2 linked regions of the Ovis aries genome follow. The protein of the gene in region 1 interacts with the protein of each later gene in a pairwise test. Links are inferred from orthologs where the notes say so. Each region holds a gene or a part of one and is shown on either strand. Other genes may lie near its edges.

Region 1 (6,440 bases):
TTTTGATTATATTGTCCTCCTTGCACCTTGTAAAATAAAGATTCTACTTCTTTCATTACAAAAGCAACTTTCTAAATAGCTGTAATTTTATAAAATCAGAGAATACAATTGTGAAAAAAGAAAGTTAACACCACTCTTAATCCCCCAATCTTAAGATGTAACGTTGTTAATATTTTGGCTTGTATATCCCACTGCAGTTGTACTTCATATTGTTTTTGAAATCTACTTTCTGTCTTCAGTAGTCTGTATTTTGAACATTTTCTCATAAACCTCTACAACATTTTCTTTATTTTTAAGATGAGAAATTTCAGATGTACCCAGCCACTTCACATGATCTCTATCTGGATTTAATAGTTACGAATATTTTTAAATAATTTGTGATCTCTCTGTGTATGTTTACTTTTGCTGAATTTGAAAATTGCAGTCATCCTGACATTTGATTTCTAAAGATTTCAGTACGCATCTCCTAAAAATAGTCCTTTTTCTATACAGCTGCAGTTCATTATCACACCTATGAAAGAAAGAAAAAAAGTGAAAGTTAAGTTGCTCAGTCGTGCTCTTTGCGACCCCTTGGACTGCAGCCCACTAGGCTTCTCTGTCCACGGGATTCTCCAGGCAAGAATACTGGAGTGGGTTGCCATTTCCTTCTCCAGGGGATCTTCCCAACTCAGGGATCGAACCCAGGTCTCCCGCATTGCAGGCAGACGCTTTAACCTCTGAGCCACCAGGGAAGCCAGCTATGAAACTGAGCATTAATTCCATAATATAATCTAATTTGTTGTTGTTCAGTCGCCAAGTCGTGTCCAACTCTTTGCGACCCCAAGCATGCATTTCATACTGTCCTTGGGGTTCTCCAGGCAAGAATACTGGAGCTGGTTGCCATTTCCTCCTCCAGTGAATATAATATTTAATATAAAAATTTACCAGTTCTCCTGCAAATGTCTTCTTAATATCGTTTTGTTTCGAACCAGGATCCGAATGAGATATGTGTCTTGCATTAGATTCGTCTGCTGAGTCTTTTAGTCTAAATTATGTCCCACACCCCCATACTGACTTTTTGAAGAGTTAAGGCCCCATTGTTTTATAAGAATGCCTTATATTCCAATTGTCTGTTCCCATGTGGTATTTAACATGCATCTGTATCCCTTATATACTTCTGTGAAATTCAGTTCAGGTTAGGATTTTTTAACCTGCACTGAATATGGGTTGGAAAAGTTTTGTCTTCGTTATCATTAATAGGAATTTATTATTAACAATAGAAAACAAACTCCAACTTCAGTTGAACCTATAACTTTGTCCCAACAGTAGGAATCTCAGTGCTTTTCATACATGAAGTAATTGTAATCTATTTTGAAAAAGTGTGTGTTCATTTTACTTTGAAGTAGTTATCAGAATTCTTGACATCTTATTTAGTATGTTAATAAAGAGCATATATATTGCTTTTGATAGCTAAATCTCAATATATATATTTCCTTTGTAATCTTTTGAATTGTATTTTATGCATTAAGAAAAAAATTCTGAGAAAGGGTCTATAGCTGCATTGTGCAGTACTGAAGCCTCTGTCCACACATGGCTACTGAGCACTGGAAAGGTGACTTGTCTGAATGTAAATATGCCTTAAGTGTAAAACACATCCTCGATTTCCAACACTTAGTACTTTGTACGGAGAAGGCAATGGCACCCCGCTCCAGTACTCTTGCCTGGAAAATCCCATGGACGGAGGAGCCTGGTGGACTGCAGTCCACGGGGTCGCTACGAGTCGGACATGACTGAGCGACTTCACTTTCACTTTTCACTTTGATGCATTGGAGGAGTAAATGGCAATCCACTCCAGTGTTGTTGCTTGGAGAATCCCAGGGACAGGGGAGCCTTCCCAGGGACAGATGGACTGCCGTCTCTGGGGTCGCACATGGTCGGGCATGACTGAAGCAACTTGGCAGCAGCAGCAGCAGTACTTTGTAAACCATCTTATGTAATCAGTAACTTAGAAAAATCAGTTATGTAATGAAATGATAATATTCTGGATATACTGTGTTAAATAAATATATTATTGAAATTAATTCATTAGTTTCTTTCTACTTTTTAATGTGGCTACTAGAAAAATTTAAATTGCATAGGTGGCTTGTATTGTATTTTTACCAGACAACATTAGTCTGTAAGATTCACAAGACTGCTTAAGGGATCCATGCATTGAAAAAGGCTTAGAATCCCTATGCAGAGGCTTCATTAGACTCAGGTTAAATATTTAATTTTCATTTTGCTCTTGGACAATTAACTTTGCTCAGTTTATAGTAATACTGGGGCTCTTGAAAAACATCTAAAACTTTTTTTTTTTCATTAAGAATACTTTTTAGGGAATATAGGGCACTTCACATGCCGAGGCATGTAATATCAGAGTTGCATTATTAGCAGTGCTAAATTTTGTTACTTAAGGAGATGGCCATTAGATCTCAATGTTGTAAAGATATGTCTTGCCCCATTTGTAATTAGTTAAGTAAAACCTGTCAGGTGATATTTGGCACCTTATAAATAGTCTGTTCCCCACTAGTCTATCGCCTAATGGTGTTAACATCCATTGATAGTCCTTGTTTGAATCAGTTATTACATTGGGGTTTACAAAATGGTCATTTTCTAATTCTGTTGAACATTTATTGTACAGAAATTTTCTTCTCACCCCTTTCTTTCCTTTTGAGGATCATTAGAGCTTCCCCTGTGGCTCAGAGGTAAAAAATCCACCTGCAGTGCAAGAGAACATGGGTTGGGTCAGGAAGATCCCCTGGAGGAAGGCATGGCAGCCCAAACCAGAGGAGCCTGGTGGCCTATGGTCTATAGGGTTGCAGAGTTGGACACAATTGAAGCGACTGACCATGCATGGTCATAGGATGGCGAATAGGCAGTTACAGTCATCTTCTTGATATTCAACTTGTGAATTTAGCCAGTGGAGCCCTTGGTTCTTGTATCTTTTTAATATGCTCTTGTTAGTCATTGTGTCTTTCCTTGCTTTCTGCACAATAGGATATATCAGACCTGGAATATACCTTAAAAAATTTTTTTTTAAGGAATTAATATTTAATAGAAATAAAGACCTGGGCAGTGAGAATACTATTATTTCTTCCTAAATTTCGTTAATGTAGTTTTTTAAGAGCAGCACAGTATCCCATTTTGTGATTGGTTCTGTGATTTGTTTATTTAGTGGTCTATTTTTTGAAATACGGGTAGTTTCCAGTTTTTAATGACTATATATAGTGCTTTTGTAAACATCATTGTGCCCAGGTTTTTCCATGGACCTTAATTTTTCCTTTAGAGTGAAAAATCAAGAGGTAAAAATTCATAAGAATGCACCCTTTAAAGATTTGTATTTCTATGAACAGTTTGTTTATATTAGTGTTTACCTCATCTACATACCTCACCTGTTTTTCTGTTTAATCTTTGAGGCACTACTTTTAGAAGCAAACACCAATTGCTTGGTATTATGGCTGAAATCTTTTCCCTTGGTCTTAAAGCCTCTGTCTAATGGAAGTTTACCTTGACAGTGATACAGTGATACTTGACTAGGTGTGACTTGAAATTTCTTCGGGCTGTGAGTGATAATAGCGGTCAGTGCAGAAGACAGTAGATTGAAATGTTAGGTTTTAATATAGTAAGATAAGATATTCTCCAAGAATCCATCAGAAAATGAAGTGAGGTTTACCTTTTAGATAATAAGTGTAGTATAACCATTGCAGAATAAGACAGATCAGCATCTTCTGTATTAGCCTTCTTTTCCTTGAGCTTTTCATCCTGATTTTAGGTTAGCATGAAAAAACTGGAGGTAGAAGTGCCTTGGTGCCAAAGAAGCCCAAGGGGAAAAGCTCATGATTTGGCAATGCCCTCTTGTAGTACCCATAATGTTTGTAAACTCAAAATCTTATATGTAAGAGTTACTGGGCCCTCATGTGCAGGCTGGTAAGAATTTCTTTCATCTTGTCGTGATTGTAACTTTCTGGTGTAAAAAAGTCCTTGAGTAGGAGAAGATTTTTTATGTTTCATATGTGTGTTTGATATTTGCCTGACTCGCTGTTTCTCTTTCAGAAATGACTGCTGTCCACACAGGCAACATAAACTTCAAATGGGACCCCAAAAGTCTAGAGATCAGGACTCTGGCAGTTGAAAGACTGTTAGAGCCTCTTGTTACCCAGGTAAGAATCTGCAAACAAATACATAGTTGTTATAATATGGTTCCATAATTGTAGGCCTGGGTAATAAACACAGGGCAGAGTTGTTTAGTTCAAAGCCTTAATTTGAGTGGTTGAGTTTAGGCTGATAGTAATGAGACAGTTTGGCTCCACTAATAATTAAATATTTATGTGTGGATTCATTTAGCCTTTTAGAAATATATTTGATGCCGTTGTCTTCAGTCTTGATTGGCAGTAATAGGGGCTAGTAGTATGCAGTGCATACCACTTAATACTTAAAAGTATTTCTAAGAAAGATAGGATATGGAACCTTGACTATTAATATTAAGTCTGTTCACCCTGCTTAATACACCTTTTTTTGTCCAGGATCTATTAGAAGGTCATTTAATTTGAGAGCGTAGCTTTGGTATGTTCTGTTATAAATACAAATATCACAGTGTGATGACATTTCATTAAACTGTTAGCAACTTGCTGTGCACATGTAGCATTGTGGCACGTGTATGTGTCTGTGTGTGAGTGAGGGAGACAGACCTTGTACGAGCACGAAAACGAGAGGTAGTGGCATGGTTGCAGTCGCCATCTGCAGTGATTTTGGAGCTCAAGAAAATAAATATTTTAAATATAAATAAAGATATTTTAAATATAAATATAAAATAAATATTTTAAAATTATAAATAAATTATTTTCTTGGACTCCAAAATTCATTGTTAACCTCTTTCTAAACTTCTTGATGACCATAATAGAGACATGTAATTTGTTTGTTGTTTTTAATCTGTAAAATGAAGCTTAAAAGCCTAGTGATCATGTTTGAGAAATTAAAATATTCATTATATTTCTTAACTTACATATTGAGATAGCTAAATTATTTTGGAAAGTAAATATGATATATCATTGCTGAATATTTTAAAATATGGAGAGAATTTTATCTTATTTGTTAATACTAGAGTCTCATAAATGGAATGTTTCATTTTACTATGAGTAATTTATTCTTGCTATCTGTAAAGATGTTACTCTTAGTGTTTTGTTTTTTTTTTTTCTTTTAATTTTAGTTGGCTACAGTTTAATTTTCAAAATTGAAACTTTTAGGTTACAACCTTGGTAAACACCAATAGCAAGGGGCCCTCTAATAAGAAGAGAGGTCGTTCTAAGAAGGCCCATGTTTTGGCTGCATCTGTTGAACAAGCAACTGAGAATTTCTTGGAGAAGGGGGATAAAATTGCAAAGGAGAGTCAGTTTCTCAAGGAGGAGCTTGTGGCTGCTGTAGAAGATGTTCGAAAACAAGGTAGGTCAATACCACTTTTCGTATGAAGAGAGCCCGGCTTTTCTAGAAAAATAATACTTGAAGGTGACTTTGTGGTCAATATTTTCATTCTTATATATTGCCAGTTGCTCAAGTAACTACAAATATTCACTTGTTGGAAATGTATTAAGTTGTACTGGCTTAAGCTTTAATTAGGAGTGATTAACGAACATCTTTTTTGGAGCATCTGAATCCAGTTCTCTTCAATGTTCTAAGTAATAGTTGTAGGAATGTTTTAACACAGTTTGATGGGAAATATATGGGGCAGAAGTTTATCTTTTATCCTGTGTAATATGTTAATTTGTGCTAAAGATACAGGGGTGATAAAATAGAAAAATGTTTAGCAATTCTGAAAATAACTTAGGCAGTGTCTCTTTCTGTCAGACTGATAGGTTAAATCAGCCATGCATATTTGCATTGGCTTGAGTTTAAAATAATTTAAATGTGAGCTTAAAGGAAACATGTTTTGGGAAACTCAGAATTAATAAGAAGTGAAATGGTAACCCACTGCTTACCAATGGTTACTGTTAGAAAAATTGCCATCATTATGATGTAATAATCATGATAAGAGGACTTTATTTTCTTAATTTATTTTATATTGGAGTATAGTTGATTAACAATGTTAGTTTCATGTGTACAGCAAAGTGATTCAGTTATACGTGTATCTATTTTTTTTTATTCTCTTTCATATTCTTTTTCCATTTAGGTTGTTACAGAATATTGAACAGAGCTCCCTGTGCTATATAGTAGGTTCTTTTTGCTTATCTAGATAAGAGGACTTTAAATCTGAAAGAATAACTTCTTGACCTGTAGTTTTTTGTTAAACTTCTGGTCCAGCAAGAGGACTTCAACAAAAACATAGGTGGTTTTTTTTTTTTTTTTTTTTAGGGCTGTTGGCTATCAGGGCAGGGGAACTGACTCCCGTGCTCTGTGCATGAGCTCTACTGGTCTTTGGGAGAGCCTCA
Region 2 (6,440 bases), on another chromosome or scaffold:
ACTTTTAATAAAAAGTATAATCTCCCTTTTATTTACAAAGCAGGTACAATACTGAAAAATACAGTTTTCTTGAAGATTGTGCAAAAACTGCTTTCTGTTTTAAAACTATGGCCAGAAATTTTCAGACATCTTCATAAACATCTGAAATGTCCCTGGGAGGCTCTGATGCCTTCTTCCACAAGAAGAAGAAGGTTTGAGAACCATAGTGTTTTTATATTAAGATAGCACTACTGACCAATTACCTTTTTTTTTTTTATTAAACATTTTATTAGTACTGGGCTTGCTGCTGCTGCTGCTAAGTCGCTTCAGTCGTGTCCGACTCTGTGCGACCCAATGGACAGCAGCCCACCAGGCTCCTCCATCCACAGGATTCTCTAGGCAAGAATACTGGAGTGGCTTGCCATTTCCTTCTCCAAGTACTAGGCTTATTTTGAGCTATTTATTTTTTCTTTGCCTGTCCTTTGAGAACAACCATGTGTTTGTGAACCAACTGGTCATTGATAGAGATACTCTTATTGTGGAAAAGAGTTTCGCTCCCAGAGAAATGGAGATCTGAGTGTAGCAAGAGTAAAAAATACTGGTGAATAAATGGGAAATATAAAAGATATTTTCTGGGACTTCCCTGGTGGTCCAGTGGCTAAGACTCCCTACTCCCAATGCAGGGGGGCTGTGGTTCAATACCTGTTCAGGGAACTTGATCTCACATGCCACAACTAAGACCTGGTGCAGCCAAATAAGTAAATATCTTTAAATTTTAAATAAAAGATGTTTTTGTATTTTTTAATCTCCTTAAAAGTGACTGTTTAAGCAAAAATTGTACAATATAGAAAATTCCCTGGCTGCCCAGGGGTTAGGACTCTGTACTTTCACTGCAGGGGTCCAATCCCTGGTGGGGAAACTAAAATCCCACAAACCTCATGATGCAGCCCCCCCCCCCAAAAAATAGTGCAATATATCATGTTGTTTCTAACTAGTTTAAAGATGTATAACAGCAGGTCAAAGAATGAATGGGAAGATGGAAGTATGTTTGCAAGGCTCTTACAGTTCACATGAAGTAGGACACTATACCTTGAAGACTGTGATAAGTTAAAAGGTACATATTGTAAACTGTAAATCTACCATTACAAAACAACAAAACAAAACCCAAAGAAGTACAGCTAGTTTGACAATAAAGGAGATAAAATGGAATCACAGGAATATTCGGTCCAAGGAAGTCAGAAAAAGAGGAAAGTAAAGTCATGGTCCCTGAAACAAGGTCAGGTCTATTCCTTGGGCTGGCTGCTTTTACTGCCTACTCCCAGAGCTATGCATGAGAAGATAGCCTGTATTTCTTATTATTCAAAGGATCGGTGGTCTTTTTTTTGAAGAACTCGGCTTTCTTTGTATTGAAAGTCTTTTGCTGATTCTCAGGCTGTCTCTCACTCCCCCTCCACTGCTGCCCTCCTGTTTCATAGCCCCTGGTTGCACAGCCCTGTCTCTGTCCCGTCTCTTTAGCACTCCAAGCAGAGAAGTGTCAGGGTTTTACTTTGTCACTTAACATCCGTACTTGACAATCCAAGATGCTGTAAAATAAAGATAAATTAGTATCTCAACACATCTTACCCTTTTCTCTTTTCCTTGAATTCAGAGACATGAAAAATGCTGTAATTGGAAACAACAAGCAGAAAGCCAACCTCATTGTTTTAGGAGCTGTTCCAAGGTAAGTTTGCTACTATCCCCTTTTCTGCTATTCATATGAAGTTTCAGATGTGTTCTCATTCTCAGTCATAAGACCCTTCTTTTTTCTGTATTGTCTGTCCTACTTTTTTTTTTTTTTAATAAATGCTTTGAAGTATATGAAGCATCTCTTTTAAAAAATTAAGATACCAAGGAGTGGAATATATGAATACTTTTTACAGGTTTGGGAAGATCATTGACCCTGCCATAAAAGGACACGTTGGGTAAATAAGCAATGTACACCATCCTGATTCTTCCCGGTCTCCTCAGAGCTCTGGCAACTTTTATATGATGGGATAATAATTTCTTAGGATTCTCAAAACCTTTTTTGAAACTAAAAAAAAAATTTATTTTTTGACCCTGCTTTTTAGAATTTGCTGGCTTTTAAATTAACATAGAAAGTTTCATGTCTTCTGATGAAGCTATTAAGCTTCTTTTTGGCAGACAGTGATAATTGTTTAACTGCTTCTTTGCCTTTGCTACCCAGAATTAAGTTTTATGTGCAGTTACAAATTTTTCATTCAGAATTTTTAAATGTCTTGCTTTTCTTTCTTCTTTTTTCTTTCGTGTCTTTTAATGTAGGATTGTTTAATGGTTTTGTTGTTTTTATTATAATCAACCATTGGTAACTGTAAAGCTGTCAGCAGCCTTTCTTAGGGGACTAGTGCTCAGTATATATAAATATGCTTTAGGGAGCATGAAGGATGTACCTTAGAACATAAAGGAGATAGTCATATGTTGTAGACAATTGGAATTTGGGGAGTAGTTTTTTGACAGGCTAGCCTAGAATAGAATAGGATCTTTTGATGCCCCAAATAGGAGAATCAGAGAAAGAAGAGAACTTCCCTTGTTTGAAGAGCTGCACAAGGACTCTGAGTATTCCCTCTAGGCTAGATGTCTGTGATCTCTGAACTGTGGTAGTGGATATTCAGGGTCCTTAAGATCCACCAGCACTTGGCTTTGGGAATCTTCATATCTTGAAGTGTCAGATAATGTGGACTGTCGTGCTGGCTGTTTCTACAGGACATCGCTTGTGGACAACTCTCAGATTTTGAAGTTCTGACACTAAGATTGTATGATAATTCTGTTGTTCACAAAGAAGAAAATCTCTTTTGGTTCTCCCCGCTGCCGATATTCCTTTATTAAATTAACAGCTTATATAAAGATATGACCATTTCCTAGCAGCCTGTAAACTCACCTACCATATTTTCAGTGTGTGGGATGTATTGGTAGCCTTTTCTGTAACATTACTTTTAGCTAATGTTTACTTTTAAGTTTTTTAGTCTCTTCTGTTTATCAAGTTCTTTCTTTTTAGATTATTGTACTTGCTTCAGCAAGAAACCTCAAGCACAGAATTGAAAACTGAATGTGCAGTGGTATTGGGAAGTCTTGCTATGGGTACTGAAAACAATGTTAAGTCTCTACTAGATTGCCATATTATCCCTGCCTTACTGCAAGGTATGTAAGGAAGTCATTTTTATACAGGTAAAAAGTAGAATCAGTTTGCAGCGTTTTAAATATAAGTTGGAAGCATGAGTCTCAAATCTGTTTTCTCTTAACAGGACTACTGTCCCCAGACCTGAAGTTCATTGAAGCTTGCCTCCGATGCCTGCGCACCATCTTCACCAGTCCCGTCACTCCAGAGGAACTACTGTATACAGTGAGTTTTAGGTGTTTTTCAATCATCAAGTTACATTTTTACTAACAGCATACTTCTGATTTACTTAGCTTAGCATCTCATAACTGATCTTAGCTGTGATAACTATGTTATAGAAAAGTCTCAAGAAATATTTGAATTGCTAATTTGCAAATATCAAATGTTCTAGGCTTTGTAAAGCAGTGAAAGGTAGTCCCAGACCTTGAGAAATTTATAAGCTGGGGTTTTTTGTTGTTTTTTGTTTTGTAAAGACCTTTCTTAATTTCTTAAAAGGAAACACATTTAATGCACTCACTATAGGTTAAATCTGGTAGAGGAGGCTTTATGGAGAAGGTAGAATTTGACCTGATCTTGAATAATGGATAAGATTTCAAGAAGTGTAGAGAAAAGAAGCTGTTCTAGGGCACATCTTTGAAAAAGAGAATATGCAGGACAGTGGACAGAATAGTTTAATGCAGGAAGGGAATCATTGTTCATTTCAGCTGAAAAGGTGAACCAGAAGCACTTGTTAGAGGCTTACTTACCAGGCTAGGATCAGAGAATACATGTGAGAGAATCTAAAGATCTTCAGAGTCATTCATTGGTTTTCAGAAACTTCAGGGATTATTAGAGTGTATTTTTATCTGTTGCTTATCTGGGGCTTTCTTAATAAATTTATCAAGGCTAGTATTTTTTAAACTCTCTTATCCACAATTCACAGTAGAATTATATTTTCTACGGCCACACTGTGTGTGGGGGGTGGGAGGTGGGGGCGCAGAGTGGTGGTGGGAATATCTTGAGATAGTCTTCACAAAACAATTGCATAAATGTGGTGCCTTCTGACTTCTATTTTATCCTTTTTCATTTTAAAAAATGCTGGTTGTGATTCTCTGAGCTGAGATGCAGAATCATAGTTTCAAAGTGGACACATATGTATTGGAGATCTTGTCCAGGGTCATGTTTTACAAATACTTCAAAAATATAAGTAGTCAAGAGGCATAGGCAAAGCAGGCAGGGAGAGGGACATGTCATGTGCCTCCAGAGTTTGTTTTTCCTATATTAGACACTTGCTCCTCTGGCCTGTAATGATGCCTAAGGTCTGTAAATGAGGCTTGTGGGTCATCTCACACAGCAGGGAGCTAAATTATGAAGCATCTTGATTTTATACCTTGAGGATTTGTGTAACATTCTTTGGGGAACCATGGCTCATAAATCCATAGACCATTTACCACAATGGTTCTCAAACTTGAGCAGGGACCGAAATTACCTGGAGAGCGTATTAAACACAGAATCCTGGACCCCTACCTCCAGAGTTTCTAATTCAGTCAGTGTGGGATGGGGCCTGAGAATATGCATTTCTAACAAGTTTGCCAGTAACTGGTAAACTTTAGTATCTGGTAAACCAGATGCTACTGGTCCACTCTCTGAGAACCACTGGTTTACTGTAAGCATTTCTAAATTGAGGAAGCATTCTCACAGCATTCTATATAGAACTCTCCATCTGAGTATCAGTCTGTTTACTTAAGGATTTCCGATTGTCATTTTTACAAAGAAATTAAGCCAATCACTCATCTTCTTTACCCTAGAAGTTTTTCCCCAACCCTCAGCCCAGTATTGGGGAAGGAATTGACCCTGGTCAACTTACTCAGCTCCTTCCTTCTCTCTCTCTAAATTGATTTCATGATCTGCTAATGGATTGTGGTTCGTAATTTGGAGAATGCTGCTATATACCAACTTAGCTTCTTTTTGCAAGAAAAATTAAGACACAGGGACTTAAGGGACTTTCATAGGATACCTAAATTATGAAACAATTTTATGCCTCAGAGACCGTGGAGACTCTAAAAAATGCTGGATGGGATAATGACAGAGAGTAGTATTTCAGTGTAACTAACTGACATCTGTGGGTAGGATTGTATAGAGACCAGCTGCCATAGCAACTCAGGCACTAAACTAAGGAGCGCAGAATCCTGTTGAAGAGGGCAGAATGTGTAGTTTGAAATTGTTTATAAGATGAATGACTTTGGGGGAAATTATGTAACTGTACTTTGCCTTGTTTAATCAACCAGAAACTGCAGATATGTAACACAGCAGCTTGCAGTATCTTAGTTCCCTGGCCAGGGATTGAACGTTGGGCCCACAGTAGTGAACACCCTGAGTCATAACCACTGGACTGCCAGGAAATTCCCTCATTTTGTGTTTAAACTGCTTATGACAACACAGGGTTATAACAAGCAAGGGGAAAAGATTCTATTTGTAGGCATCTTCTACAAAAATAGCCTACTATTTTCCTACTTAGCTTTTATGTATCTTGCCCAAACCTTGTTTATCCCAACAGTGGTATTCTTTTAAGTTTCCTTCCTTGCCCTCTGTTGTCTTTTGTCAAAGTGTGGTCTGTGGACCAGCAACATCAACCATTAGTTGGGAGTTTGATAGAATGCCAAATCATAAGTCGTACTTCAGACCTACAGAATCAGTCTATACATACAGAGTATCCCCTGAGAACATACATGCAATGCGCGTTCGTATCTGAAGAGCATTGCTGCAGGACTTACGACAGCACTGACTAGGGCACTCGAGCTAAGTCTCCTTTTCCATCTGTGGTTTGGGCCAAATATCCTCTCAGTGTTTAAATCATGAAAGAGGAGATTTTTTGAGAGCCCTGAGGCAGATTGGGTGGATTCTTCTTTCTTCTGTACCATCATGTATGCTGTGAAGTGTCAGTAGTAGGCAGAGAGTGGGCTGTAAGTGAGAAGCTGCTTTTATATAAACTGTCTTGTCTTGTGAAGACTGAAATTAGCTCACTACAGTTATTAGAAATGTTAATCTGTTACTGATACTTACCAAAACATCTCAGACTTCAAAATTGTGAACTTTTATTTTAATACAGTAATTCCTCCTTGTAAGCTATGTAGTAAGTATTTATCTCATTAATTACGTCACATTTTGGTTTTGGAATAGATTATGTCAAGTCTTATTGAAATGATCTTGTTTTATTGTGGGGATGTTTATGGGAGAGAAATTGAGAATTTCCTGTTCTTTTATATTATTATCAAGCATGAAAATTGAAGCCCCTTTCCTTGTCCTTTGC

What was found.
Region 2: the proteins of CTNNA1 (region 1) and ARMC8 interact in a two-hybrid assay, tested with the Homo sapiens proteins (2 studies listed by BioGRID and IntAct). The link is inferred for Ovis aries from reciprocal best matches to the Homo sapiens genes CTNNA1 and ARMC8.

The regions. Positions count from the first base shown.
Region 1 is NC_056058.1:47,766,882-47,773,321, forward strand, and holds part of CTNNA1 (catenin alpha-1), read left to right. Parts: intron 1-4,071; coding exon 4,072-4,178; intron 4,179-5,261; coding exon 5,262-5,457; intron 5,458-6,440. UniProt on the Homo sapiens protein: Associates with the cytoplasmic domain of a variety of cadherins. The association of catenins to cadherins produces a complex which is linked to the actin filament network, and which seems to be of primary importance for cadherins cell-adhesion properties.
Region 2 is NC_056054.1:251,533,917-251,540,356, reverse strand, and holds part of ARMC8 (armadillo repeat-containing protein 8), read left to right. Parts: intron 1-1,627; coding exon 1,628-1,699; intron 1,700-3,031; coding exon 3,032-3,174; intron 3,175-3,278; coding exon 3,279-3,376; intron 3,377-6,440. UniProt on the Homo sapiens protein: Component of the CTLH E3 ubiquitin-protein ligase complex that selectively accepts ubiquitin from UBE2H and mediates ubiquitination and subsequent proteasomal degradation of the transcription factor HBP1.